2 linked regions of the Ovis aries genome follow. The protein of the gene in region 2 interacts with the protein of the main gene of each other region in a pairwise test. Links are inferred from orthologs where the notes say so. Each region holds a gene or a part of one and is shown on either strand. Other genes may lie near its edges.

What was found.
Region 1: the proteins of ARHGEF2 (region 2) and RPP25L interact in binary tests that used the Homo sapiens proteins (3 or more experiments, as listed by UniProt). The two-hybrid records come from large-scale screens. The link is inferred for Ovis aries from reciprocal best matches to the Homo sapiens genes ARHGEF2 and RPP25L.

The regions. Positions count from the first base shown.
Region 1 is NC_056055.1:36,949,673-36,965,166, reverse strand, and holds RPP25L (ribonuclease P protein subunit p25-like protein), read right to left. Parts: upstream 9,850-15,494; 5' UTR 9,807-9,849; exon of another isoform or gene 9,769-9,806; intron 9,056-9,768; exon of another isoform or gene 9,053-9,055; 5' UTR 9,023-9,052; coding exon 8,531-9,022; 3' UTR 7,651-8,530; downstream 1-7,650. UniProt on the Homo sapiens protein: May be a component of ribonuclease P or MRP.
Region 2 is NC_056054.1:105,981,145-105,996,191, reverse strand, and holds the end of ARHGEF2 (rho guanine nucleotide exchange factor 2), read left to right. Parts: intron 1-35; coding exon 36-99; intron 100-749; coding exon 750-876; intron 877-986; coding exon of another isoform or gene 987-1,103; coding exon 1,104-1,213; intron 1,214-1,362; coding exon 1,363-1,509; intron 1,510-2,048; coding exon 2,049-2,299; intron 2,300-2,505; coding exon 2,506-2,631; intron 2,632-2,925; coding exon 2,926-3,043; intron 3,044-3,240; coding exon 3,241-3,489; intron 3,490-5,030; coding exon 5,031-5,107; intron 5,108-5,573; coding exon 5,574-5,743; intron 5,744-7,458; coding exon 7,459-7,526; intron 7,527-8,655; coding exon 8,656-8,856; intron 8,857-9,221; coding exon 9,222-9,341; intron 9,342-9,468; coding exon 9,469-9,536; intron 9,537-9,677; coding exon 9,678-9,713; intron 9,714-9,919; coding exon 9,920-9,970; intron 9,971-10,172; coding exon 10,173-10,619; intron 10,620-10,860; coding exon 10,861-11,044; intron 11,045-11,762; coding exon 11,763-11,836; 3' UTR 11,837-13,222; and 1 more. UniProt on the Homo sapiens protein: Activates Rho-GTPases by promoting the exchange of GDP for GTP.

The sequences.
Region 1 (15,494 bases), on a different chromosome or scaffold from region 2:
CCCATATCTGGGTCCCCGCCAGGCCCCTCACGTCAACCCTTGGGAAGAGGGCCAGGGTTGAGGTCAATTCCCTATTCTCAGTGCATCATTGTCTCAAGGTGCCCGCCAGCTTCATGGAATGGCAGCTGGAGCTACAGATCCAGAGAGGGAGACACACCAGGCAGGGTCACACAGCAGGCAGAGGCTGGGAGCCCTGATGTTCTGGCAGCCAGCCTGGGTCTGTCACGGGGATCCTGTGCCAACACTGTGACAGGGGCCAGACCAAAAACAGGCATTTATGTGGGGAGAGAGCCGAGGAATCCTTGAACGTGTTGGCAGCTGGGCCAGGGCTGGAGCATCCCATCAGGCAAGGACAGATGTGCAGTTTCCTGTCTTTCCCATCAGATGGAGACAAGCACTGGGATAAGGGGTTCCGAGAGGCAGAGCACAAGAGAAGAGAGAGAGAACCTTGGGAGAGAGACCAAGAAATAGATACAATCAGAGTCAGACACAAAAATAGAGATGTGGAGAAATAAGATGTGAGTCAGAGACACAGAGATAGGGAGATGCTAGGGAATTAAAGACACAGAGACCAAGATCAGGCAAGACACAGAGTCAGAGAGAACTGTCTTTGAGTCTCAGAGGAACTGTGACACAGCGTCAACAATATATAGACATAGACAGACACTCAGAGACTAGGAGATGGAAAAGAAAAACAGGAGGGAGAAGTAGAAATGAAGATGATGGGGAGAGAGACAGAAAGATCCAGAGAGAGGCAGAGCGATGCAGAGAGGGCAAGGCAAATGGGGACAAAGACAGAATGAGGCAGAGAGTGAGGTCAACAGCAGGCATGCGGAGAGTAGGTTACAGAGGAGACTCTCCTGGTCTCCAGTCTCTCCAGCCTGGTCTCTCCAGGGTTTGGACCCCCTCATCCCCTTGCTATTCTCTGGTTTCCATAGAAACAGGGAGGGCAGCGCTGAATTTGCATATACATCTACATCTTTTCTATCTGCATAATTCAACAGGTTTCCGTGCATATTCATGAGACTGTGAATGAAGGTGACTCTCCCAGTCCCTGCTCAAAACGTGGCTGTGATGCCTCCTGGCTTGCAGTTCACAGGCATGGCTCCAGGCCCAATCTCACAGGCCCTGACTTGTCCCCTCTCACCCAAACATTCCCCCGTACTTCCCTACCTCCCAACCTTTCCTCAGGTGAGGCCCCTCTGCTTTCCAGGGACACTGACGTCCTTTTCTCAGCATCAGTCCTGCCGACAGTACATGCATGCAGGCACTTACGCACACACTCACTTGCGTGTGTGCACATGAACTCTGGTGGAGCGGGCATGATAGCGAGGGAGCAGTGCTCACCTTGGTTCCCTGCTGGAGGAGACCCCTCAGTCACACTCCCATCTGGAGTCAGAGAAGAGAGTGCATGAAGGGATCACCTTCCAGAGGCTAAAGTCTAAGCAGAGCTGAAGGCTGCAGATACACCAACAAAGAGGGACCGAGGACATTGTGGCCTCCACGTGGAAACTGACAGAGACCTGGGGTTCTGGCAAGAATACTCCGAGGAGCTAGAACAGAGCCCGAAGGAGTCTCCAGAACAGAAGGACTGAGGTGGCTCAGATGGTGGGGGAGAGGCTGCCTAGGGACAAGAACCCTTTCAAAGTGCCAAGCCTTGAAAGCTCTTACAATCTGGGCAGGGCTTCTCCAGGGCCTTCTCCAGCCATCATTTTGGCTTCACCATCTCCCCTGGATCCCTGCAGTAGCCTCCTCATTGCTTATCCTGCCCGGTGCCCTCAGTCCACTTTCCACCCAGGGGCAGCCAGAGCTCTCTCTGAAACAGCAATCTAATATCCCTCACCACTCCCTCCTCTTCACCTTCAGAAACTCTCCATCACTCTCAAGAAAGCGTGCAAGCTTCTCAGCCAGGCACTCAGGCCTTTCCAGTCTGGCTCCCACCCATCTCTGAGCCTTGTTCCTCATACTCCCTGCTTTGAATTTCACAGTCCAGTGATCATTTCTGTGCTCTTCTCACTTCTATGCCTTAGCTTATTCCTGCCCTTTACACAGAATGTCCTTTCCACTTTTCTTCCAGCTTTTTTGGGGGGCCATGCCACATGCCATATAGGATCTCAGTTCCCCAACCAGGGATCGAACCTGCATCCCGTGCACTGGAAGCATGGAGTCTTAACCACTGGACTCTCAGGATAGTCATAGCTCTTATTCGAGATCCTACATAGGCACTACCTCCTTCTCTTTGAAGCTTTGCCTGTTCCTAAAGACTGGATGAGGGACTCTGAACTCCTTAAGTCTAATGAACTTGCTTAATTTCTATACTCATCACACTAATAATGAAATCACTGATATATGTGACTTATAGCCCTCATGGGGCTGGAGCTCCCAAGCCCAGTGACTATATTGGTCACATTATGGGTGATAATTAGCTATTTGTTGAATAACTGAAAAGTCACTAAGCCTGTGCTAGGTCACTTCAGTCGTGTCTGACTCTTTGAGACCCTATGGACTGTAGCCTGCCAGACTCTTCTGGGGATGTCCGTGGGGATTCTCCAGGCAAGAATACTGGAGTGGGTTGCCATGCTCTCCTCCAGGAGATCTTCCTGACCCAGGGATCAAACCCAAGTTTCTTATGTCTTCTGCATTGGCAAGCGGATTCTTTACCACTAGTGCTGCCTGGGAAGCCTTGAGAGGTCACTAAGCCTATGGAAGGCCAAATTTCAAGCCTTGACTACCCTCTCTGTGTCCTAACTGCACAGATCCTGCAAAGGGAAGGAATGCGCTATTCCTTCGCAAATGATGCCATCTTGTGGACAAACTCAAAAGTGCAGCCAGACATTACCCGGGAGTGGTTCAGTTCAGTTCAGTTGCTCAGTCGTGTCCGACTCTTTGCGACGCCATGAATCACAGCACGACAGGCCTCCCTGTCCATCACCAACTCCCGGAGTTCACTCAAACTACGTCCATCGAGTCAGTGATGCCATCCAGCCATCTCATCCTCTATCGTCCCCTTCTCCTCCTGCCCCCAATCTCTCCCAGCATCAGGGTCTTTTCCAATGATTCAACTCTTCGCATGAGGTGGCCAAAGTACTGGAGTTTCAGCTTTAGCATCATTCCTTCCAAAGTACACCCAGGACTGATCTCCTTTAGAATGGACTGGTTGGGGCTGTCAAACCGGGGCTGATCCTGGAGTTCCAGGCAAATGGTGGGGAGTGAGGAGCTAGGCTCTGAACAGGGAGTGCTACTGGTGTCTTTGAAAAATCTTGATGAGCTCTAAGCAGAAAGAATGGCAACATCAAAGGCTCAGAAGCAGAAAAATCTCATGACAAGTGGGAAGAGTAGGGAGTTAGTGTGGCCAGAGCCCCAGGTCGAAGGGGACCGAGTCAAAGACGGACTGTGCCGCGGAAGTAAGAAGAAAAAAGGCAGAGTAAGGAAAATCAGAGGTGCTTGACTGCAGTTTTAAATGGAGTGATCAAAACAGGCCTCACTGAGGTGACATTTGAGCAAAGCCTTAAAGAGGCAGGGAGATACCCATGCAGGTATCTGGCAGGGCATTCCAAACAATGGGAACAGCCAGTTCCCTGACTGTTGGAGAACTCAGAGGGGAGTGAAGCAGGGAGACCAACAAGGAGACTGTTGTAAGACAACGATGGGCACGAATCACCAGAGTCTGTGGGAATGGAGAAACCTAGCAAGCAAAATTGCCAGGACTTGGCGCCTGCTTGCATTTGGGAGGTGTATAGCTCCTGCAGTCATATTGTTCTGAAGTCCCCACTTCAAGGGTACTCACTGTGCATGCCATCTCTAAGGCAGGTAGTGAGAATGCTCAGCACATTCTATCCTGGATGCTCCTGCCTCCTCAACATACCCATGATTGCCCTCCCCAGCCTCTTAAATTCCTCAACCTCACCTTCCGTAACTTTCCCTCTGGACCACCAGGTATCTACTTTCATGCCCACTATCAAGTCCTGCCAGTTCCTAAAACTCTCAAACTCACTGATTTCATTTCATCCTTTGGCTACTATGAAGTGTTGAATTGCATCCCTCCATAAATATGTTGGAGTCCTAACCCTTAGTACCTCGCAATGTGACCTTATTTGAATCTTTACAGAGGTAAGTTAAAATGAGGCCATTGGGATGAGCCCTAGTCAAATATGACTGGTGTCCTTATGAAACGGAGAAATTTGGAGACAGAAACAGATACAAAGGAAGACGGATGTGAAGACGAATGACTGGAGTAAAGCAGCCAAAAGCCAAGACCAAAGACTGCTGGCACACCGGAAGCTAGGAAGCATTAAGGAAGGATTCCCAGGCAGGTTTCAGAGGGAAATGGCTCTGACACCTTGATTTGGGGCTTCTAGTCTCCAAAACTGTGAGACAGAACAGTTCTGTTGTTCTAAGCCACCCAGTTGGTGGTCCTTTGTTATGGGTGCCCTAGAAACTGGTACCACTATGATGAAACTGAAAGTAAAAGTGAAGTCGCTCAGTTGTGTCCAACTCTTTTCAACCCTGTGGTCTGTAGTCTACCAGGCTCCTCCGTCCATGGGAATTCTCCAGGAAAGAATACTGGAGGGGGTTGCCATTTCCTTCTCCAGGGATCTTCCTGACCCAGGTATCGAGCCTGGGTCTCCTGCATTGCAGGCAGATGCTTTACCCTCTGAGCCACCAGGGAAGCATACAATACTCTGTCCCACTTCTCTCACGTACTCTACCTCACTCCACCCCATTTTTATAAGGACCTCTAGGCCACTGACCCCTGCCCCTTTCTAGCTTCACTTCTTTCCCGACCTAGGTTGGATTCCTTGGACCTTCTTCACATACACTCTCTTGCCAGTCTCACTATTCCTGCTTCCCCTGAGTCTTACTTGACCTGTGGGTGCTGCTGGAGTGCACTCTGACTGATGATATTGTAAGTTCATGATCACCAACCTCATCTGGGCTTCTAGCTCTGCCTGGTCATCCTCCTATACCTCACTAGCTGTCTTCCCCAGCTGAAACAACTCTCTACCAGCCTCCTTACTCCACTCTCAGCAGCAAAGCTGGACTTCTGCTTTGAGATTAGAAGCCTCTGAACTCTGAATTCCGTGTCTCACCTTTACCTCTATACCCACCTGCATGCATAGCCATCCTCAACTCTGTCCCTCCTGCTACAGGCAGACATCTCTCCTCTGCCCTTTGTGAGGCCCGTGCCTCCCCGCTCTAAGACCCACTCCCTTTCATCGCCCCCAGGAGTGTCATTCTGAGTTAGCCACAATCTCCTGCATCTCCATGCCTTTCCCTACTGGCTTCCCCCATCAGCCTATAAACTAGTCTCTGCTAATTTATTAAAAATAAACAAAACTCTCTGTATCCCAGAATCATCTCTCTCCTCCTATCACAATAGTTTGTTGAAAAAGCTATCTCCATTTCCCTACCTTTTGTGCCAAGGTATTACCTTTTCTAAGAGATTATGGAGGAAGACACTTGGAGCTGGTGATGGACAGGGAGGCCTGGCATGCTGCAATTCATGGGGTCGCAAAGAGTCAGACACGACTGAGTGACTGAAGGAGAAAGTGAGCAGCAATTAAATTCGCAAATGTACATAGTACTTATGCTCCCTCCCTCCTAAGCTTGGTCAGGCTTTCTGATTCTGAATGCCTCACTCTGGCTCCCTCCCTGACATTCCTCTGGTAGGACTCACTTGGGCCCCCAAAGTGGCCAAGGAGGGAAAAGGCCCCAGATTCACTAGCCTTTGCTCTCCCGGCCTGTGTCCTTTCTCCTGATTCTCTGAGTAGTGGCAGATCCTATTCTTCTCAAGGGATTTTGACTGCACCTCAGTTTCCCTCCACATTCCCCCTGCCATCATCAAGACCCCAGGTGGTGCCTTAATGAGGAGCTGCCCAGTGGGGAGTCCCAAAGCCTGTGATGCTGCCTAACTGAATCACTCCCTCAACACAGTCACCACGCTTAGTTCACATGCTCTTTCCACCCTGGCCGCCACACACTGGATCGAGATGGGATGCTGAACCAAAGTTCAATAGTCTGCAAGAAGCCTGGTCCCAAATCTCTGGGGACCAATGATACACAGGGGGCTGTTGATGGTAAAGGACACGCAAGTAAAGATATTCAGAGAAATGGCAATATGCAGAAGCTGAGCAGGAGCAAAAAACATGAATTAGACACAGAGAGTAAGTCAGGCAGTTGCTGGTAGCCAGACAGAGTCAGGACCACAGCCACTAGGACGGTATTAGATGCTTCATGACCTTCTGCAGTTGAGAGGCCCAGCTGGGAAGCAGCAGAGGGTTTTTCTCTCTTACCTAGCATGCCCTGAATCTCCAACCCCTCCACTCCGGGCAAGAAAAAGATGCAGCATTCCAAGTTTTGACCACAGCCTGCTGGTCCTGTGGTCCCCTCATGCCTGTTCTAAGCTCTTATTGAGGCCTCCGGTCCCCCAACTCCATCTCTCCCAATATTTCAACCCCACCTGCCTGGATTCTCAGCCAGACATCACTTCAACACCCTCCAACTGCTGTGCCCACCCTGCTACATGGTCCCAGAAGAGTCCGCACTTTGTGCTTTCCTAGTGATTGGACACCCAAGCTGTGGACACAATGGAGAACATAAAGTCCAGTGGAAGATCCAATTTGCTCAACTCTTCACTGAGTCCACTACTGCCCACGATCCTGCTCTGGTTCCTGTAGCCTCCTGGCTACCACTGCAGTCTTCACCTTTCCTTATGCTCCTGACCTGTCCATGGTGAACCTGAACCTACAGCCAAGGTGAGACAGAAGAGGAACTGCTAGGGGTAAAAAGGGTGAGAACTGAAGGGGGAAGGTAGAATTGAGCTTATGTTTTTAAGGAAAAGGCATGTTTGTAAGCTGACTCCTTCATGAGGGCAATGAACATTTACAGTCATCCCTCAGTATCCTCAGGGAACTGTCTCTAGGAGCCCCTGTGAATTTCTTTTTTCACCAAAATACTCAAGTCCCTTAAATAAAAAGGTGGAGTACAATCAGCTGTTTGTATCCACGCGTTCTACATCCACAGATATGGAGAGCTGAGGGTATACAGGCTCAGGTGATATCTAAGAATCATATGTATATTTCTACATTTAATCCTCATAACAATCCTTCAAGGCAAGCACTACATCTTGTTCTATGGATGATGAGAACACTAAAGCGCAGAGCAGTAACTACCTAATAAGTGGCAGACCCAGGATTCAAATCCAGACAGCTTGGTGACCAAGGCCATGATCTCAACCACTATATTGTAATATAGGCATACTTCACAGAGACATTTGGGTGCAGTCCCAGACCACCTCAATAAAAGGAAGATCTCTATAGTGCAAGTCACAGAAGTTTATTGGTTCCCCAGTGCTTAAAAAAGTTATGTTTACTCTAAGAAGTGAAGTGAAGTCGCTCAGTCGTGTCTGACTCTTTGCGACCCCGTGGACTGTAGCCTACCAGGCTTCTCTGTCCATGGGATTCTCCAGGCAAGAATACTGGAGTGGGTTACCATTTCCTTCTCTAGGGGATCTTCCCGACCCAGGGATTGAACGCGGGTTTCCCACATTGGAGGCAGAGGTTTCAACCTCTAGCCACCAGGGAAGCCCTATATTGTAGTCTATTATGAATGTGACAGAATTATAGCTAAAAAACAATCTACATATATACCTTAATTTTAAAATATTTTATTGCTAAAAAATGCTAACCATCATTTGAGTTTTCACTAAGTTACAGTAGTAACATCATAGATCACTATAACAAATATAATAATTAAAGTTTGAGATATTTTGAGAATTACCAAAATGTGACAGAGACACGAAATGAACACTGTTGGAAAAATGGTGTTGCCAGACTTGTTCAGTGCAGGTCTGCCACAGAACTTCACTTCTTCTGTAAGAAATGTAGTATCTGCGTGCAACAAAATGAGGTATGTCTCTATGCTGCAGGTGGAGAAAAATGCAGAGTCCTTCAACCAGCCCCAAACAGGAAGCAGATAGCTACCCAGGGATCTAGACAGTCAGGTTACTGCTTGAGGCTGCATCTTCAGTCCAGATCCTCCCAGCACCCATCTGAACCTACTTTTCCTGTCTCCAGACTGGGAGCTCCTGGCGGTCAAGGGCAGGGACTCCCACTCCCTTAACCCTACTTCCACACAGCAGGCCAAGCAGAGGTTCATCAGACAGACAGAGCCTTTATTTCCTAACTCACTCCTTGGATCTCTGTCAGAAGACAGATGAGAGGCACTGTATGTAAAAGGCAGAGTAACCCTTCTTCTTTCTCTACATAATATTTTATTTTATTTATGCTGTGGCAAGTTGACCTACACATTGACTTAGGATGTTGCTTCTTAAGCAATCTAGAACCCGGCAGAGACTCCACACCTGTCACTCTTCACGAGAGTCCCTTTCCAGGAGCCAGAGGGAAGGGGAAGCAGGACAGGGAGGCCCACTTTCCTAAACTCAAGTTTTGTTGGAGACCTTGAGCAGTTAGAGGCTTCTCAAAGGTACAGCCATCCTAGACAGTCTAGACAACAGCTTGCCCACAGGTCCTCAGAACCGGGTATCTCGAGCCCTTCTTCTAGGCTGAGGGCCACAGCTGGAGGCAGGTGTGGGCCCGAGGTCAGGGGGTGCCCCAGGGGGCTGGTAGCCATACTCATTGGGGTCCAGGGGGTCTCGACTCAGCAGCACCCACACTGCAGGCACATGGCTGCGGACCGTGAGGGGATCCAGGCCCGTGTCAGGTGAGGTAGGCACCCAGCTGTCCTCGGTCTGCAGGAAGCGCAGCTTGGTAAGCTGGTACAAGCCTGGTACCCGCCGTTTGACAATCTCAGCACAGCTGACAGCCTTGCCTGCAGCGCGGCCAGAGCCTGAGAATACCACGTGGCGAGCGCTGCCGCCCTCCAGCCGCTCCAGCGCCAAGCCCAAGAGGTTGCGGATCTTGCTGCCAGCTCGGACCCGCATCTCCAGGGTATCAGGAGGCAGCTGGGGCATCGGGGAAGGTGCGGGGAGTTCCACAGAGCCAGCTTTCCGGTAGTGCTCCATCCAGCCTGCTGTCGTGTCCGCCTTGCTGCCCTGCTGCAGGGAAGTCAAAGGATGGTGGGCACTGTGTCCCAGGCGACCCCCACCCGAGGGTGCTGCTCCGCCCAGATTTCCCAGAAATGGGACTTTAAACCCCTCATCCCCAGGACAAGGAGTCATGCCTGCCTCCCCCTAGGGGGGCATGTACCCCAGTCCTCTGGACAGGGCCATAACCCTCCACCGACCCTGAACACCGGCCAAGCCTCTCCATCTCTAGCTCCCTGGCACTGGGAATGAACCTTTCTCATCTGGGGCTCCTGGGGACTGGATCCAGGCCCTCACCCGAGACTCCCTAAGCACAAGGCTGAGTGCTCCTCACCCTGGGCTCTCCACGGGGCGCCAGGGCAAAGGCGCCTCACTTCGTGCTCCCAGAGGTCAGGGCCAAGCTCCCCCCTCCCCGCCCCCCACACCCCATGCTCCACCAAACGGAGCCATGAGCCTTCATCCAAAAGCTCCTCAAAGACAGAAACGATCCTCTCCCCAACTCCTGGACCCCGAGGACAGGGTCGGGCACCCCTCTCTCATCCAGAGATTCCAGGGTCGATCCCCTCAACCGAGGGTCCCTCAGACACTGGGAAGCAGAGGCTTGACGCCAACGACTGCTCGGGCCACCCCTGGCGTCGGGGCCACGAGAGGCCGGGCTCCGTGGTGCCCACCGCCACGGGCCACCGCAGAGGCCCAGCACCCGGCCTTCCCTCTCCTCCTCGCACCTCTAGGCGCCCCTGCCCCGCAGGGCTCCGGCTCTCACCGCCGCGGCCGCGCACTCCCTACGCTCGATCTGAAGCCAAGATGGCGCGGGCCGAAAGCGCGCCGAGGTCGCGGGGCCGCGCACGCCGGACGGGGCGGGGCCTGAGGGGCCGGGTTCGCAAACCGAGAGGTTCCGGACGCCAGGGAGTGAGCTGGCCCCGGACGCGAGGATTCGCTGCACGCAGGGTGTCTTTGCTGTTCTGCCCCAGGCAAGGAGCATTCCTTTGCGAGCGGAGAGAGCGCTGCGGGGGAGAGGAGCGGCCAGCAGAGGAGTCCCGCGTCCGAAGTCCGCGTCGGAAGGATGCGGAGGATTTGGCCCTTAGAAGATTCAGGGCAGGCGTTACCCGCTGAGCACACCGCAGTAGCAGAGGCAGAGTGGCGGGTTTCTCTTTGGACCGGAGCTAGAGGTGCCGGGTGATGTGGCCGCTGCGGGGGCGAGAGCCTAGATCACCGAGTTCTGAACTTCAGCCTCACCCTGTGGGCACTGGCGACCCACAGGGGGCTTTCATCAAGGCGCAAGTCAGACTTGTTCGTGTGGGCAGCTCTCGGGCCTCCCTCTGGTGACTCCTGGCCGCACGTCCCAGGGGCATGTCCGCGGTGCTTCGTAAGTTGCCCTGCCTATACGTGCTCGAATATTTGATAAAGCATTTGTTGAAAGAATGAGCCAGAGAAACAACACTGGGAATGGGGAAAAGGAAATTAAGTTGGAAGATACTACGAGGTGGGTTTGGCGACTCTTCGGATGGAGGGAAGAGCCTAGGATGGCTCAGTTTCAGACTTGTTGGATTTGAGATGCCAATGAGACCGCGCCGGTACGGTGGCGGGCAGGTCGACGTAAAGGGGCCTGGAGCCGCAGCAGTCCCGGAGACCACAAGGGGACAGCAAACACTTGGTGGAGTGAGGTGCCATCGGTTTCTTTGCTAATATGCCAACTCTCCCTCCTTTCCAGCCACAGCACCGCCCCGCCCCGCCCCAGCCCAAAAGCCCTCTGCATCCTCTTTTAGGCTCCCCTTCTCTTATAGCATCAGGAGAGCAACATAGAGGCTCCCCTCTCCTTTGCACATGCTGCTCCCTTGGTTCTCAAAGACCCTGCATATCACTCTCCAGAGCTACCTGCCACATCCTTTTCTTCTGTGCCCCCAAAGAACCCTTGTGCCACATGGTTCCCTCCCCTTTTCCATGACTGTTTCCCCTGCTATCCTGTTCAGGGCAGGGATCAGGTGGACCCTACCTGTGACCTCCCCACCTGGTATGGCATCTGACATTTAGAGTGTACTTGGTAAATGTGGGATAAATAGATATAAAACCAAATGTTCCACTCACATCAAGCAAATGAGAGCATTCATCCTGAGAGCTCTATATCTCCCAGAAAGCTAGACTAGGATAAGTATAGCTGGTGGTCCAACTCCTAGGAAGATGGACAACTCTGGCCTCCACCACCCTCATCCCCACCACCATACCCATCCAAGACCAGGAAGCCAACACACTCCTGCAGTGACCTCTACAGTTTTATTGTCACTGGAACAGGATACTGATGAGGGGAGGAGGTGCAAAGAGCAAATCTCAAGTAACCAGACCTCTGACCTCAGAGCCCCACCTGAGTGCAGCCAGGTAGGTCTTGAATCCAATAAATACAGAGCCACCTCTTTTCTGCTCTGTTACAAGGGCAGGCTGGCACAGGTCCTGGAGCCTGGCTGCCCCAGCCCACCTTAGGATGGGAAGCGCCATTCACTCTTCCACAGGCTTCACTTGCTTGGCAGCTTCTAGCTGGCAGAGAAGTTCATCCCACTGCACAAACTGCTTGGAGAGAAGCATTGTCTGGTCACAAGTCAAGGTGAGAATGAGAATCTGAGAGAGGGAGAAGAAAGATGTTTGCCTCTGCCTAAAGGTAGGGGGAGCTGGGAAACAGACAGACTGGTTGGGATGGGTTGAGAGACAGAACTAGGAATGGAATAAAAGGCCAGGCTCCATACAGCACTCCTCAGGGGCCCAGCTGAGCGGAAAGGATACAGTCTTGTTGTATTCCTCCAGGAGCGCCTTGGACTCCTCAGTGATCTCCACACACTGGTCCTGTGGGGCCAAGGTGGGGCAGAGAAAGGCGTTACACAGAGCCCACACTCCCCATTGCCTGCCTCATCAGGGACCCTTGCTCCTCAGAAAAGGTAATGTTTAACCTCAGAGCTAAAAGGAGCAAATTTCTAAAAAGGCACTTTCAGGCTCTGCTATGGGTAGGTAGCCTAACTGCAGTCCTGAGGCTGATGGAAGAGGGAGCGAACCAGACATTTAACGACCTATTCCTACCGGTATATCCCTCCTTCTCCCCTGTACCCTATATCTGAACCCTCTCTGAACTTCACACTAGAGCCTGGCAATAGTGAAAAAACAGCTCCTCTACCTATGGTCAAGGATACATAGGAATTCTTGGGCACCTCCCAACATCAATCCTCTGGTGTCTCAGGACAGCCCTAATCTGGAGGCAGGAGGCCTAGATTTTACCCTAGGCAAGTCTCTTTCCCTCTGGAAGGTGCATGCAAGACAAAGGAGAAACCCTAACTTTCCCCTGAAGCTGACATCAGCTCCTGAGGCTACTTCCCCAGGAGACAGGGGTGGGGAAAAGGAGCCTCGCCACCTCTACTTTCCTACCTGGTCTCTCCCCTCCATACCTGCTGCTGGATGTGGATCTGGGCCAACCGCTGCAGGCGGGCGGCATGCTCAGGAACGGCTGTAAAACGCAACACACACTGCCCAGTGATGCTTGTGCCTTCCCCCGGGACTGCTCAATAGTCTATTAGGTCTTCGGCAGGATTAGAGTATTGAGTGGAGAAGCTAAACAAACGCCAGCTTCATCGACCACTGCAGCTGGAGGTGGTGGTGGTGGGGCTCCCTGCCCACCCCAGTCCTACTCCAGGACCCAAAGGGGAGGGGAAATACAGGCCCCTAGAAGACAAAACCTTGGGGTTTCCAGAAGTGCCCCATATACCCACCCCAGTGTTGTGAGCAGGGCAGGTAAAGAAAGCTTTGATTATTACAGGATCTGTTCCTTTGCTCTCAGCCCAGCGGGACCAGAGCTCCGTGGCCCAGGGAACAGGGAGCCTGCAGGTGGGCTGAGGACAAATGCAAGGTCCCTAAGCTGGTCACCTGGAACCCAACACCCAGAGCCTCAGCCACCATGCAGGGCCCACAGCTTAACGCTGTCAGATGCTCAGCAGGAAACTGATCAGGGGTAGGGAGGGGGAGCTGGGATAAATACCTCCAGAGACAGACAAGATGGATATCTGGATTCAATTAAAGTCACTGCTTGTCAAAATCCCGGCCCAGGGCAGTGCAGCCGGAAGAATTCACACACGTTCACACACCCACCCCCTGCAGGGACTCTTACAGTAAAACCTGGCCTCTGCAACACCCTGAAGGACAGATGCTGAGGGGCGGGGTAGAAAACAGAAGAAATCCTAAAGCGGGAGGCCACTGGGCTTACCTGAGTGTCCTTAGGGCCAAACTGCCTTGAGTTCTGAAGCTGAGCTCTATGCCCTGGCAATTTTAATCCCAGTGCAGGTGGCCAGTACCCCTCAGGTGAGGGTAAAGACAAGGAGCAGAGCCAGTCTGATCCCAGGGAAGTCCTGCCCATCCTACCTCCCCACGTAGAGCAGAGGAGATACAACCCCAGAAGGTACCTTTGATGTGAGTGCTGTCCAGCATGGGCACCAGAGCCTCCACCTGCTCCAGAAGTGCAACCTGCGAGAGAATGAACTGCTCCTCTGCGGCATGAACAGACAGAAAGTAGCAGTGAGGCGGGCCCAGGCACAGCCACTCCTGGGTGAGGAGCTGGGGACCAGGCCAGGGAGAGGACTGAGTCCTGGAGCCAGGGGCAGTCACTCTGCCCACTGCCCCCTTCTTTCTGTGCACACTCCCCCAGTCTGCCTCCACCTCTCCTGGATGCCACTGGTCTGACCTATCTTGAGCCCTATCTCTAAGTGCCTCCAAATCTAACCTTTCTCCAAGTTTTAACTCTGAGGCCTCTCCCCCTAGCCTCCTATCCACAAATTCAGAGAGCCCCTCCTAGGCCACAGGAGACAAAGTACTTCAGACCTGAAGTACCCAAGGGGTCCTGGGAAAGTCTGAAAGAGGGGACTTGTGGAAGATACCTGGCAGGTAGTGCTGAGTGGATCAGAGAGGCACGATTACAAGCTCCTGGAGAACTGGGACAGTAACAGGAGAGTCCAGTGACAAGCTCAGCAGGACTGGGATGGCCCTGTGCATAGGGGGTTTTAATGACTGCAGAGTGGGAAGGGGATTCAAGGGAGGACTGTTATGTCAATCATCTGATGGCAAGAATGCATGTCAATCAGTAGAGGAAAAAGAATTCAATTGGCTGAACTGGAGCAAGGAGAGCACAGCAAACAGCTAGATGGGAGGAGAGATCTGGCAGTCTATACGGAGCTTTGAATGGTAGGCTAAGGAATTAGGAATTCATCCTAGGAGGAAGAGGAAGATATAGACACGCTGAGGTTCCAAAGTAAACACTGTGGCATGCTGGAAATGTGTTTTGGGAAGATGATAGTGAGCCACATGCAAGAAGTGGGAAACTAGGGTCAAGAAGAGGACTTAGGAATAAGCAAAGGAAAAAAAAAAAGAAAGAAAATAAATAAATAAAAAAGAAGAGGACTTAGGAAACTGTTCAAGTGCCAGGGGATGAACACCAAGATAGTGCCACACGGAGGGGTAGAGAGGCTAGACTCAAGAATCGGTGCAGAAGAAGACCTCCTGAACTTGGTGTCTGAGCCACAGCAGTGGTTCAGGGATGTTCTGGCTCACCGCTGTATAATACCTCACACCTAGGATGTCCGGATCTCAGCAGATGAGCACTTGAATGCATGAACAAACACAGGTGATGGCAAATCATACCTAGTGGAGTAGCTAACTGATAAGCAAACATTGCTAAGACAACAGTTACTGCCTAGAACTCTGAAATCCCAGCACTTTCCCACCTGCAAGATGCTGAAACCCATGCTTATATCCTCATCTCTCCCACGGCAATGCTCTCTGCCCCCACCCTTTCCTAGAAGCTCTATGTCTACCGAGCAGAAGTAAGGAAGATTCTGAAGGAAAATCCTAGAGGCATGCCATAGATAGAACACCGGAGTCGCTTCCACAGTGGCTGACACTCTGGTCTGCAGCTGGCTCCAGGGTCTACTGTACCCAGTGTCTACAAGAGGACCACAAGTCCACCTCCAGCCTCAGTCCAGATTCCAGAGAGCAGCTTCCCAGGCTGCATCCAGGAGAGGACTGAGAGGGAGGCCATCTCTGTGCCCAGCGTCCCCCAGATGCATGTGCACATCCTATCCAGCACTACCTGCCAAGATGAACTGCAGCTTGGAGGCATCAGGTAAGGCAATGCGGTCAATGTACTCAGGATCCAGGTATTTGATCAAGTCTTCAACTAGAAAAGCAACAAGATGGAAAATGGAATAAGGTTGAGGAGTGGGGATCAGTCTTGTGAAGGAAGGATATCAGGGCAAGGGTCAGCCTTGGGGAGAGCCTTGAGTGAGGAACTGATACCCAAAGGGTCCACCAGGCCCCCATCCCCACTTCCCTGTCTCTTCCCTCTGATCACCTGCTATTCAGTCACTAAGTCATGTCCGACTCTTTGGACCCTGTGAACTGCAACATGCCAGGCTTCCCTGTCCCTCAC
Region 2 (15,047 bases):
TGTTCTTGGTGTCTCTCTTGCCCTCTGTCTCACAGCAACAGAAAGCTGCCCTGCTGAAGAACAACACTGCCTTGCAGTCCGTTTCTCTTCGCAGTAAGAGTGAGTAGTGAGGGTGCAGGAGCCGCCACAGGACCCTGGCCCACCAGGCCTCTCGGCCCATGGGCTCTGCTGCCCCCTTGAGGTCGTTCCCTGGCACGGCACCTTCCTCCCTTCATCTGGAAGCTGATGGCGGCGGCACAAGGGAGATGGAGACCCCTGGGCCTGGGGGCGGGACAGCAGAATTAAAATGAGGTTGAAGGCTTGGAATGACTGGTCATCTGAGCCTGCTCACACTTTATATTAGTATGATCAGTTATTTACATGGCCCTTGGGGATGTTGGCAGAAGTTGTTAAGGGCCAATTCAGAAAGATCTGGTGTGACAGAAAGAGCGGGGTGCTTAGTCAGGAAAACTAGAGTCTGAGTCTGTGCTCAGCCACCAGCTGAGTCACCCCAGCCAAATCTCTTCACCATCCTGAGCTGCAGTTTGCTTGTAGGCTTGTGGCCGGGAAGAGATAAGAAAAGCTCTTTGTAACCATTAAAAGTATTGCACAAGTTTATGGGTAGCATTATTATCATCTTTCTCTGACTAGAACTGGGCTAAAGGTGGGGTTGGAGAGGAGGCTTCCTTTCTAGTCCAGGAGCCTGGGAGGCTTGAGTCCCGGGAAGGCACCAGGTTTGAGGCTTGCTTGTTTGGTATCCCCTCCGACAGCTACCACTCGGGAGCGGCCCAGCTCGGCCATCTACCCCTCCGACATCCGGCAGTCCCTGCTCGGCTCCCGCCGTGGCCGCTCCTCCTTGTCTTTAGCCAAAAGCGTCTCCACCACCAATATTGCTGGGTGAGCCTCTGCTTGGGGACGGTAGAACCAGGCAGGCAGAGTGAGGCTGTGGAGACAGGCCGGGGGGAGGGGCTGAGAGGTCCTCCCCATCCCTGAGTTCAGAATGATAGACAGGTAAGGAGAACTTGGAGTGACTGCCTCTGGGATGCCGCCTTTGTTCCCCAACCTGGGAAGGGATCTCTCGCCCGAGTCAGTCGGATGATGCAGCCAGGCTCCACTCCCCTCAGACACTTCAATGATGAGTCTCCCCTGGGGCTGCGCCGGATCCTCTCACAGTCCACGGACTCCCTCAACATGCGGAACCGGACACTGTCGGTGGAGTCCCTCATCGACGAAGGTGACCGTGCCCGGACCTGGGGGAGACCCAGGCGTGAGGGGCGGGCGGGAGCTGGCCCGAGAAAGGCAGGGTGGGAAGGGATCCAGAGAAGGGCCCAGGACCCAGGGAAGAGATTTGGGGTCCGAGTCGTTTCCCCCACTCGCGTCCAGGTGCTGAAGTGATCTACAATGAGCTGATGAGTGACTTTGAGATGGATGAGAAGGATTTTGCAGCTGATTCCTGGAGCCTTGCGGTGGATAGCAGCTTCTTGCAGCAGCATAAAAAGGAGGTGATGAAGCAGCAGGATGTCATCTATGGTGAGCCGGGAAGACCACCCCGGACTTCTCTTTTGTTATTGGCCTTGTTTCTCTGTGTCCTTCCTCTGCCAGCCCCTACCTCTCAAGACACTTTCCTCTTATCCCATTGGCCTTCAAGACCCTGCCAGTGATCCCATAAGTAGCTACGAGGTCCACAGCTTTTGGAGCTGTTGACCTCCAAGGCCCTTCGTAATCCCTTCCTTCCAGTCAACTCTTAGTCTTTCCTCTCTGCCCATTGCATGCCCAGCTCTGTGCTGGGGACTGTGGGAAGTCTAGGCATGTAAGGAACACATAGTTTTTGACTTTATACCTTGAGATGGCAAGAGTGAGCCCCTCTTAGCCCCTTCCCCTGCCTGTCTCCACAGCCTCATTCTGCCTTGAGATGGCAAGGCATAAAGATAAATGATTAGAAAAATGATCTAAGATCATAACGCAGAATATTAGCCTGGAAGGGAAACTGAAAACCTCTAATAAGCCTGAGGTCTCCAGCCTTGGCCCCACCAGTTGTGGCCAAGCCGGGTGTTCCACCGTCCCCACAGAGCTGATCCAGACAGAGCTGCACCACGTGCGGACACTGAAGATCATGACCCGCCTCTTCCGCACGGGCATGCTGGAAGAGCTGCAGCTGGAGCCAGGAGTGGTCCAGGGCCTGTTCCCCTGTGTGGACGAGCTCACTGACATCCACACGCGCTTCCTCAGCCAGCTGCTGGATCGCCGGCGCCATGCCCTATGCCCTGGTAGCACCCGGAACTTCGTCATCCATCGCTTGGGGGACCTGCTCATCAGCCAGGTGAGAAAAGCCAGGAGCCCTGGGCAGCAGTCTTGGGCGGGGGTGTGACTAGAGTGGGCATTTCTCATCTCCAGACTCTGGGGGGTGGGGCAGAGAGAGTTGGAAAGGCAGGAAGCCAGCCTGTTTGGCAGGAGGCGAGAGGGCATTGGGGATGAGAGGTGACTTTGGGGGACATGCTGACCCAGCCTTGCTCCCCCAACTTCTAGTTCTCAGGTCCTAGCGCAGAGCAGATGCGGAAGACCTACTCAGAGTTCTGTAGCCGCCACACCAAGGCCTTAAAACTCTATAAGGAGCTGTATGCCCGAGACAAACGCTTCCAGCAGTTCATCCGGGTGAGCAAACCTCTCCAAGACCCACCCTCCGCCTCCTGTAGTGCCCCAGCCCTAGTGGACACAGCTGCTCGTTTTTCCAGGGGTAGAGCGAGTGCTCTCGCTCCTTGGGTCCTCACAGTAAACCTGTGACCTTGTCGGCCCCATTTTCCAGAGTCATTAACCTCCCGCCAGCCAGCATGAGGTAAATGACCAAGTGCAGGCAGGCACCAGGGCTTAGGCTCCAAGTCCAGCGTCCTTTCTGGTGCCCTCCCCGCGGGTGCCCCTCTGGCACTGAGCCCTGACCTCGCTTTGTAGAAAGTGACCCGCTCGGCGGTGCTGAAGCGGCATGGGGTACAAGAGTGCATTCTGCTAGTGACTCAGCGCATCACCAAGTACCCAGTGCTCATCAACCGCATCCTGCAGCATTCCCACGGTGAGAGGGCGAGTCCAGGCGGGAGGAGGAGGGAGAGGGCTGTCAGGGGTGAGGCGTGGCCCTGGACAACCACCGGGAGGAAGAGGGTCACATATGGAACCCTGGGCAGCCTCTGAAGGCGGCATTGAGATCAGTGGGTTGGGGACTGGCGTGAAGCTGGCTGGGCCACCCCTTCCTCACGCCGACCTCGGTGTCAGGGATGGAGGAGGAGCGCCAGGACCTGACCACGGCCCTGGGGCTGGTGAAGGAGCTGCTGTCCAACGTGGACCAGGATGTGCACGAGCTGGAGAAAGGGGCCCGCCTGCAGGAGATCTACAACCGCATGGACCCTCGGGCCCAGGCCCCGGTTCCCGGCAAGGGCCCCTTTGGCCGAGAGGAGCTCCTGCGGCGCAAGCTCATTCACGATGGCTGCCTGCTCTGGAAGACTGCGACTGGGCGCTTCAAAGGTCAGTGGACAGCTTGGCAGACCAGGCAAGAGTCCATGGCCAGAGGGAGAAGCCTCCAAGCCCATAGGACCTCTTTTAATGTAGCCCTGGTGAGACCCAGTGGGAGGAAAATATGTGAGCTCTGTTGTAACAAAAGTCAGAATTCTGGATTTAATTTCATGGGCGATACAAGGACTTCGTTGTCAGGATTTGTTCATTCCTTTGGTCCTTGCATGCCCAGAAAGCTACCGATTTTGATGAGAAAAACAGAGAAATTCCAGGATTAGAGGACTAGCCCCTGGTAATTGGTTCTACCAGCTGGAGTCCCAGCCACTAGGGCTGGGGAATGGGCAGGCACTTTGGGAACACAGCTGAGGAAGGCCCTTGGAGGGGGTGGAGCCCAGGGAAGGGCGGGCCAAGTGGAGAAGAGAAAAGACTGCAGGGAAGGTGTGTTCAGGGCGGGGCGCACTGTCCCAGCCTCTCTTCCCAGACTATACTGGGCAAGGCTTGCCTACCTAAATCAAAGCAGAAGAGTCGCAGACCTCAGCTTTAGGTGTGAGGAATGCTACCTGAGGCCAGAGCTTGCCTGCACCTCTGTCCCGTGTCGTGAAGTCCCCACTCCATAGGCTTGAGTATTGCAGGCTTTGCCAGCCACTTTCCTCCATCCCTTTCTCTCCTTCCCATCCCTCCCACGCAGCAGCTAAGAATATAAACCATGGGGGGGTTAAAAATAGCAAGGCTGAAGAGCTTTATTTCTGAAGCCTTTAGCAGAAGCCCTCCCCTTCTGTGTGCCCACAACTTAGAAAGATCTCCAAGGGCAGAGGATGCATGTGTTTTCCTGACTGTGACATCTGACTTTCATGGGTTGACCTTTGTCTCCCCCAAGTCTTAAAGCACAGGACCCCGTAGAATGTGAGGGCCTTGAAGGTGGGGCAGAAAAGGAAAATGAAAGCAGGGCCTGCTGTTGTTGAAGGAGATTGGGATTGTTCAACAGTGGGAGAAATGAATAAGGAACCTAACTGTTCCCCTCCCCATGGAGCACAAAATAAGAAGTGGGGAATATGCTGGCATGGGGGGAATCTTAGACCAAATATCCAAAAAGATCTTATGTCAGTTGTTCAACATGGAACTGAAAGGCTCTGGGAGTCGTTTTACCCTCACAAGAATTCTGGACCCTTTCACACAGAAAAACACACGTGTGATAGATTAATATGTAAAAATTGCTTATGGAACTTTAGAGGATCTACAGAGCCTCTGAAGCGTGATAGCAGACAACCTAGGTGTCGGCAGACCACAGGCTAAGGAGCATTCATTGGATAAAGAGGCTTTTATTCAAGGCCACTGGGTGATTGCTTATAGGCATCTCTAGCCCAAGAAACTGTTTTGTCTGATGACACATGTGTCCCCCCCGCCCCCCACCGTTTCTGAGCTGTAGGAATGGGGAGAGGTGGGAGGTCTGCGAAGGGGGAGGAAACAACCAGAGGGAGAGAGGTCGGGGAAAGGGAAACAGCTGCTCGCATCCTCTAACGCTGACTCTCCTCCTGCCTCCATCCCCCTGCCAGATGTGCTCATGCTGCTGATGACAGATGTGCTGGTGTTTCTCCAAGAGAAGGACCAGAAGTACATCTTTCCTGCCCTGGTGAGACCTTCCACCTTCTTTCTCAGCATAGACAAGTGTTTCAGACCCTTCTTACTTTCCTACCCTGGCCAGGAAATCCTCCAACATCAAATAGCTATTATTGTAACCACTGCCGTAATATAATCAGGAAAAATAAGAAGAGCCAATGCATATAAATATGATCAGAAGGAATAAGAAGAGCCAACGCATATTGTTACTATATGCAGCCACTTTTTTTTACACGTGTTAGGAAGGCACATGATTATCCTCTTTTTGTAGATGAGAAAAGTAAAGCTTAAAGTTAATTAAATTGTCAAAGGTCACAGACGTTTCTCTAAGTCCACTCTGGCTGGCACCAGAGTCTGAGCTCTTAACTTATATTCTCGGCTGACTCTTCAATCCTTTGGATACTCCAGGAGGACTGAAGACTCAAATATCCAGGGGTCAGGATTCCCAGCTTTAATCCTTCCTGTGCCCCAATTGGCAGGACAAGCCCTCGGTGGTGTCACTGCAGAATCTCATCGTGCGGGACATCGCTAACCAGGAGAAAGGGATGTTTCTGATCAGTGCGGCACCCCCTGAGATGTACGAGGTCCACACGGCATCCCGGGATGACCGGAGCACCTGGATCCGCGTCATTCAGCAGAGTGTGCGAGTGTGAGTGTGTGCATGGACTTGTGGTTCCTGCAGTTTGGGGCGTTGGACCACAGCACTCCCAGGGAACAGAACCCAGGGTTCAGAAGTGGAAGGAGAGGCCAGGAGAGAGACAAGATGGCCCAAGGCAGGCAAGGTCATTTATGTTCTCTTGCCCGGTAAAGTTGCATTTTATACAGTGACAACCCCAACCGCCTTCTGAATGCACCATGAGCTGACAAGCCAAAGGAATACTTTAAGTTGGCACGTGCCGGCATGCCTGCCAGTCAGCAGTACAGTTTCACCTCCATTAACATCTTAGTCTGTAGGCAGTGGGCCATTATTTGGACTGTATTGTCTTTCACCTTCATTTTCTAAAAATGAATGAAAAAGAGAATAATGAAAAAAAAAAGAAAAAAAGGATAATGAAAGCATTGATACTAGTGATCAGAGGGGCAAGACTGAAACAAACTCCATACGATAGAGGCTACAAAGAAATCATTTTGTGTGCTAAAGCAGCAAATCTCTGGCTTCTGTTGGACACACATCAGATCTGAGTATGTGTCTGTTGTGATCAAAGAAAGTAAAGGGGCTTCCTTGGTGGCTCAGACGAAGAGCTGCCTTCAATGCAGACAAAAAGTCAAGTGCATGTAAAATGTCGAAAATGGATTCTCAGGCTTCCCTGGCAGCTCAGTGATCAAGAATCCTCCCGCCAGTGCAGGAGACACAGGTTCAATCCCTGATCCGGGAAGATCCCACATGCCTCGCAGCAGCTGACCCCATACCCCACAACTACTGAGCCTGTGCTCTAGAGCCTGGGAACTGCAGCTGCTGAGCCCACGGGCTGCAGCTACTGAAGCCTGAGCGCCCTAGGGCCCATCCTCCACAGCAGCAAGAGCCACCACGGTGAGGAGCCTGTACACCGTGACTAGCAAATAGCACCCACTTGCCGCACCTAGAGAAAAAGCCTGTGCAGCCGCTAAGACCCAGCACAGCCAAAAATAAATAAATAAAACTTTAAAAAAGAAAAGAAAGTACATTCTCAAGGATAATGCCTGAAAAATAAACTCAATTAGGATGTTTATGATTTTTTTGTTTATACTTTTCAGGGAATGGATTCTTCTCTACTTTATAATATATAAAACTATATATATTTTCTCACTTCTGCAATTTAGACTTTTGAACAAATTTTTCAGAAATTTGTGCAAAAATATGAAATTACCTGTTCTGGGAAAACAAGACCAAAGTTCCTATCCCATTGACAGTCGATCTATAGCGGCCTCTTTATTAATAATGTAAATATTTGTAGTCGTGAAACCATTATTCATGATAATTGTTTTATTGAGCTTATGCCACGTTCAAAGCACTCGTATATTATTTCATTTAATCCTCATACAAAAAAAACAAACTGTGAGGAAGATATCATCCCTGTTTCTCATATGAAGAAATAGAGAGGTTACCGCCTGGTAAACTGCAGAGCCAGAATCTGAGCCCAGTGTGCTTGACACCAAAACCTGCAGTTGTCCTTCCGCACTACGCTGCCTCTCTGGGTGACTTGCGGAGAGGCACTGGCAAGTAGATGCAGATCGTCAGTGCCAGGAAAAGGATGAAGCCAGGGCGCGGAGCTGACAAGACTTATCGGGGAAGTATAGAGCATGTTTGGGAAGGAGGGAAGGCAGATTCCTGGTGTGTAACCTAGCTTCCTTCCCCGAACCCCACCCAACCTGTGATCCCTCCAGATGCCCATCCAGGGAGGACTTCCCCCTGATTGAGACAGAGGATGAGGCTTACCTCCGGCGTATCAAGAGTAAGTCCAGGGGAGTTTGGGGGAGAATGGATGCATGCATATGTATGGCTGAGTCCCTTAGCTGTCTATCTGAAACTATCACAGAACTGTTAATCGGCTAAATTCCAATACCAAATAAAAAGTTTAATAAAAAAAATTACATGACGTTTTCAAAAAACAAAAAGAAAACAGTAAGTCTACCCACAGAGCTTGTTTAAATAATTTATCAGTATGATATATGCACACAGGGGAATACTATCTTAAAATGAGGTAGCTGTATGAGGGCTGATGTAGACCCACAACCAAAACATTTAGTTAAGTGAGAAGAGCAAGGTTTAAAACACTGTGAAGTATATGCTGTCACCAGCATTGGGGATAGATATGTGCCATGCATTTTGTGTATATGTGTGGAGTGTCTCTAGGAGGATATTATTACTGTGGTTTCTCTGGGAAGGGAAACTAGGAATAACAGGATTAAGATACTGACTTTTTTTTTTTACCATAGATCTGTATGTTAATTGGGGGTGTGATCTAACTGCTATACAAAAAAATCAACAAAAACCATTTGGTCACATGAGGTAGATTATTTCTCTCCACTTAACAGTCCAGAAGCGAGAAGTGCAGGGTGGTAGCGCAGCTGTGCCCTCTTTGTCATGAAGGTTCCCCGTCTCTGTGGCTGCATCACTCCTCCAGCTTCCGCTCTCACATCTGCATCCCAGCTAGCAAGGAGGGTTCGAGGACGAGGAGAGTTTATACTCGTTTCTTTTAAGGCCAGATCAGGAAGACATTCCCATCCACTGGTCAGAATTTAGTCCTGTGGCAATGCCTAACTGCAAGGCAGGTTGGGAAATGGCGTGTAACTGGGCAGCCACACGCCCAGAGGAAACTTGTACTCCTTCTGTAATCAAAACACGGGGAGATGAAAGCTGGTGGACAGCCTGCAGGCCCTGCTACACGCTTTCGTTTTGAAGACAACACTGCATGTGTTACTCATTCCCCCCCCCAAAAAAGTTCTCTTCTTTTGCATAAATGCCAAAAAAAAACCCAAAATGCAGTCCTCCCTCCCTGCCCATACCTGGCTCCTCATCCCTGGGGCTGCCCCTCCACTCCCAGTGGCTCTTCCGGGTGCTCACCTGTCTCTCATCCACAGTGGAGCTGCAGCAGAAAGACCGGGCCCTGGTGGAGCTGCTGCAGGAGAAGGTTGGGCTATTTGCCGAGATGACCCACTTCCAGGTGGAAGAGGATGGCGGCAGCGGGGTGCCCCTGCCCACCCTGCCCAGGGGCCTCTTCCGCTCTGAGTCCCTTGAGTCCCCTCGTGGCGAGCGGCTACTGCAGGACGCCATCCGTGAGGGTGAGGGAGCTTCTGGGGAAGAATCTGGACTCACCTCTTCGCCATCACACAATAGGGACACGTGGCTAGACAAGGGGAATGTCCATCCCATAGTCCGGAACTCCCCCAAGTGCCTGTTGGGTGCTGGATGCCAGGAATGGCGGGGGAAGATGGCCCTTGCTACTGTTTGCCACCTCTCATCCTGCACACCCCTGGGCACTTTAATGATCTTTTCCTCGTATGTGGTGTTGGCACTGAGACCCCATTACCTGTGCAGGGGGCATTTCCCTAGATGCCTGCATGTCCTGTGAACTGAGTGAACAGCAGCCCCTCCCACCCCCTGCAGAATTCCATCCCTTCTGTCCTCACCTCTTCTTTCCACACAGTGGAGGGCCTGAAAGACCTGCTGGTGGGGCCTGGAGTGGAGCTGCTCTTGACACCCCGGGAACCGTCCTTGCCCGTGGAGCCAGATAGCGGTGGTAACACAAGTCCTGGAGTCACTGCCAGTGAGTGCCCGGGTAGGGGACCACGGCAGGTGGGAGGAGTTAAAGAGAATGAGGTGGTACCAAGGTCTGAGTGGTGTCAGGGTGCTGGGGCAGCGAGGCCGGTGCGTCATCTTCCCCTTCTCAACAGATGGTGAGGCCAGAACCTTCAATGGATCTATTGAGCTCTGCAGAGCTGACTCAGACTCCAGCCAGAAGGTGGGTTTCAGGAGGTGTCAGGACTTAGCTAGAGGGTGGGAAATGGACTGCTGGCCTATAGACCCTTGACACAGAGCTATCAGGGACAGGCACCAGGGACTCGTGTGTCTGCTGATGCCCCATCCTTACCCGTTTCTGCAGGATCGAAATGGAAATCAGCTGAGATCTCCCCAGGAGGTGAGATGGGCTTGCAATGGTATGGGAGACTGAAAGAGGGGTTACTCTCAGCTGAGAAACTGGAGCCCAGTTTGGAGTTGGGGGTGCTGTATATACCTCAGAATACCTGCAGTCTTATTGTCCCCACACCCACACTTATTCAACTTCTGGTCAGTTCTCCCATCCTGAAGCTTGGACTCTGTTCCCCCCACCTCCTCTGTCCTCAGGAAGCGTTGCAGCGATTGATCAATCTCTATGGACTCCTGCATGGCCTACAGGTCAGTGAGGGTAGGGGCTCCAATGAGAATGGGAGGGACTGGGCCAGAGCTGTCCACTTAGCTAGAGCAGAACCATCCTAACAGGCCTGTCTAAACCTTCCTCTGATTCAAGCTCTATGGGACTCAAAATCTGGGCCCTGGGGAGTGAGGGATAGAAGAAATGGGATTCTGATACATCCCTTCATCTCCATTCTACCCGCAGGCGGCTGTGGCCCAGCAGGACACTTTGATGGAAGCCCGGTTCCCTGAGGGCCCCGAGCGGCGGGAAAAGCTGACCAGAGCCAATTCCCGGGATGGGGAGGCTGGCAGAGCCGGGGGCGTCCCTGTGGCTCCTGAAAAGCAGGCTACGGAACTAGCGTTGCTGCAGCGGCAACACGCGCTATTGCAGGAGGAGCTGCGGCGCTGCCGACGGCTCGGCGAGGAGCGTGCGACTGAGGCCGGCAGCTTGGAAGCCCGGCTCCGGGAGAGCGAGCAGGCCCGCGCCCTGCTGGAGCGGGAGGCCGAGGAGGCTCGCAGGCAGCTGGCCGCCTTGGGCCACACGGAACCCCCACTCGTGGCTGAGGCCCCCTGGGCCCGCCGGCCTCTGGATCCGCGGCGTCGGAGCCTCCCTGCTGGTGATGCCCTGTACTTGAGTTTCACACCCCCACAGGTAAGGACGCTTGAAGTAGTGAACTAACCTGGGGTGGACATCAGGGTCCAGGAGAGAATCTGAGGAACTGGAGGCCAAATGAAATCAGGCATTAAACTTGAAGGATATTAGGATACTGGCGGGAGGGCTGAACAATTTCGATGGGTGCAGAAAGAAATCAGTCAGTGGTAGATGTACTGAGAGTCAAGTCTTCACACTGCTCATTCCTGGACCTCTTGCTTTTTCCGCCTGCTGTCCATAGCCCAGCAGAGGCCACGACCGCCTGGATTTGCCTGTGACTATTCGCTCCGTCCATCGACCCTTTGAGGATCGAGAGAGGCAGGAGCTGGGCAGCCCCGACGAGCGGCTGCAAGATAGCAGTGACCCCGACACCGGCAGCGAGGAGGAGGGAGGCAGCCGTCTGTCTCCACCCCATAGTCCAAGAGGTGAGGTCCTGGCAGAGACACGGCGTAGAAACAGGGTGTAACCTGGGTACAGACCTTTGGGCTGTAGTTTCCAAGTGGAGCCTGCATTGGAAAGCACAGGAATGTTTAACCAACCACTGAGCTCCACAGTCACTCTTGGGACGGGCCTAGAGTGCTTCCTGGTTTGCCTCCTGGTAAACAGGTAGTGGATCTCTCAGAAGCAGAAAATGTAGGGGCCTCTGCTCCAGTAGGTCCATGATTCCAAACCTTTTCAAGCAGAAATAGATTTTCAGAGTGAAAAAATGTCAAAGACCTCCAAGTTCTTATAGCTGGCTCAGGAAATACAAAATAACCCGAAGCTACTGTGACTTCATATAATACTCATCTTAAAATATTTTGTATCTTATTAACCGTATTGTATCTCCATGTATTTAACAAGCTACCTAGGTATGGATCCATTATTTTGTGGACAGTTTTCCCATCACCCGGGGATTACAGACCTCTGCCATCCCTCCCTGGAGAATCCCAGGGATGGCGGAGCCTGGTGGGCTGCTGTCTATGGGGTCACACAGAGTCAGACACGACTAAAGTGACTTAGCAGCAGCAGCAGCAGCAGCAGCAGCCATCCCTCGCAGCTCTCTGAGCTGCTCAGCCCACAGACAGGGAGGCATCCGTGTAGGGGTTCGGCTGATCACAGGAGCCTCTGTTCACTCACTGACTTTGCCCCTTCCTCCTCCAGATTTCACCCGAATGCAGGACATCCCGGAAGAGACTGAGAGCCGAGATGGGGAGCCTTTAGCTTCCGAGAGCTAAGGGGGCCCCTCCCCCCGCCCGGTGTCCCCTGAAGAACATTACTGAGGGAGGCAAACCTTGGGGACTCCAATCTGCCAATGACAAGGGAACATTTGAAAGAACTGCTTACTGTCCTTGCCATCTCTTGGTATCCTTGGATACCTGGGGGCCATTTAGGAAGCGGGGGGAATTAAGCCACAGTGCCCCCTGCTGGCATCCAGAAGCTACACTGCAGATGCCAATTTTTCATGCCTTCTTCCGTCTACTTTAGGAAAATTTATTTATTTATTGTTTATTAGTTACAGAGGGAGAGGGGAGATTTAGAGGACCAGGGACATGGGAACCAAGCCATAGGGAACAGGGGGCCTTGTCCTTTAACACTACTGGGGTTTATTCAGGCTTAACCATGCAGCTGCTGGGTTCTAGCCCTGACACCCCTCCTGAGCAACACCCATCTTTGAGGAGAGGCTGCAGCCGTAAGCCCCTACTGCTCCTTCAGGAAGGGCTGTGGTCAGGGCCATGTCCCTCTCCCCTTCCCCTCCACCTCTTACTGCTGTTCCCCCTTCTCTCTGTCTTCTGTGGAAACCCCAGGAACTTAACCTGGCTTCCTAGAGTTGATGGAATGGAGGTTGAGGTGGCCATAATGGTTTGTTGGGGGATGAGGAGGAAAACTCACAGGGACCAGAATGGTTTTTTGTTGTTGTTGTTTTCTTTTTTTTGTACCAAAGCCAACTGCACGTGTTTTATATTTTTAAGAGAAGATTGTAGGCAATTAGAAATTGCAGCCTTCTATCTCTAAATCTCTGAAGAACTTGAGGGATGGGGGGAGCGTTGACTTCTCCACTCATCCATAGTAATGGGGGCCCCATTCTGACCTCTTCCCCAGTCATTTGGACAAACAGTTCTAGGGTGAGTTGGGAAATCTCTCCAAGCCCTGACCTCACCCCCACCTCAGCAACCATGACCTGAAACCTCAGTGTGAATTTGGGGGATTTTTCAGTGGATCCCCCCTTGCTCAGTGGCCACCAGCCCCGGCCAGTTTTCTGCCAATTTGATTATTTTAAAAAAAGGAAAAAAATAGAAAGTCGGGGGTGGGGGGATAAAGCAGGGAAAATTAAAGTCCTGGAACCCCAGGAAGTGCTGTCTGTTAATATCCACGAGTTCTGAGGATGCTGGTGATGAGGACAGCCAGGGAGGGCCCTGTGTTCATCTGAAAGGAGCCTCTTCCTCTCCCAGGAGGGGCGACTGCCTCCCTGAAGACACAGGGCACTAACAGAAGAAACTGGTGCCAACCTGTTTTTGTTGTCGTCTGTGATACTCACAAATACAAGGATAAAAATGAAGGGGCACTTAGGTTCCAGTGGCTGTTGGGGGGATTCCAATATTAAAAAACCTGTTTCCATCTCACTGGCATGCCGTGCTCAGAATTACATCAGCCTCTTGCCCCCTTCCCTCCCTTTCTGCACAGCTGCAGTTCCCCTTCACATCTCCCCTCAGATTCAGCCCTCACTCTGCCCTTGTTCTTCGCAGTGTCAGAATCCTGGGGTAACCTCTTTAAGACAGTTCCCCTCTCCCCTCATGGGAGCTGCTCATTTGCTCTTTGCATTTGGAGAGGCAGTGAGAGATTAGGTAGGTTTCGGTTCTTATTTTTGGTTAATTTTTTGCTTCCTGTTTCTGGTTAATAGCCTGCTCTGGGGCTGTGGGGGAGGGAGGCTAAGAGCGGCCAGTGTTGTCTAAATGCTGGCAGAGCACATAGACTTCTGTTGGAGCCCATGGAGCAAGATGAGAAGAATGGGGCTTGCAACCTCAGCTGGAAAGAGGAATTGAAACCACATGGGGTGTGGGCAGGCTTGGGGGAGCAGCCAGCACCCTCCACTCCTGTAATTCTCATCTATTGGCATCTGGCCTTGACGAGGTGCTTTCTCATCTGTCACAGAGTCTGTGAGGTAACAATTGTTCTCATTTTATAGACAAGAAAACCTGGCCCCAGAGGGTTGCCAGGCCAGCAGAGCAGCCAAGGAAGGGCCAGTCCTAGCTGCAGTCCCCCACTTCCCCTTCTCGGTTGCTCTGCAGAGACACACCGGAGCGCCAGGTTTCCAACACATTGGCCCATGGCTCGGCAGCTGGGACCCAGCGCCAAAAAGGCAGAGCAGGGGAACGTTAGCATCCAAAGACCACCAGAAAGGGAATGCAGGCTCCTCCTGTGTTCTCACGGGTCCAGTGAAGGGTGCTGGTCGGCAGGAAACAGGAGCCTGGAGACAGAGCCCAGAGCTTGAGTTGGGAGAAGCCCACAGCTCACAGGACAGCTTTGCTGTCCCTCCTGCTATCCCTGGGCTGAAACCCTCTCATCCTCGATCCCAGAACATGACACGACTTTCTCTGACATGCCACTCACATCTCTCACCATTTCTGTCGGTTGCCCCCTCTCTGTTCCCATTTTTGGAAACAGTCTTGCTCTCTGTCGGTCCTGTGCTCCAGAGCCCAGCCTCTTGCCACAGTAGTGCCGCCTTTCCATTGCACTGTCCCCTCCATCTCCCATCCCTTAGAGTGGGTTTGCATGCATTCATTCACCTCTGACTTGGACCTGTTTAAACTTTGTCAATATTTACCTCCGGGTCCCATAAAACCCATAAAGCACTGATGCCCCCAGAGGAGCCAATATCCGGAGCCCCAACAGGGCCATTGGAGGAGCTGCAGGGGGTGGGAAGACGGGCGCTTGAGTGGGGGAGGATTTTCCATCCTGAATTGGCTGGGAACAGATCTGGAGTTTTGATACCAGTTTAAACATTATCAGAGAGAGGAAATTAAACATCAAGAGGCTAATTAAATCTCTTTAGCATGGCTTAATATGTTGTGAATTAGGTGACTCTTTAGAGCCTCTTCTGTTCAGCAACTGGATGGAGCTGGTGCAGGGGGGTGCCCCATCCAGAGGTAGCTCCACGCACTTGGGAGGCGCTGTGCCCAGCTATTGCCCTGGGATCTTGAGTGGCCAGAGTCCTCCTGGGTTAGAAGACCTGTTAGAGCGTGGGGTGGGGCAATGGCAGTGGAAACTCCGCTCCATTTTCCCTCTGCCACCTCCCTCCTTTCCAAGGGCTGCCCCCAACCTTGAACATCCCTTCTGATGGCTGACTGTTGTCTTTGCTGCAAATCTATGGATATATGGATATAGAAACCAAAGGGGAACCCCTCCCTTTAGTGCACACCTTTAATAGGGGCCACCCCCTCACTCATT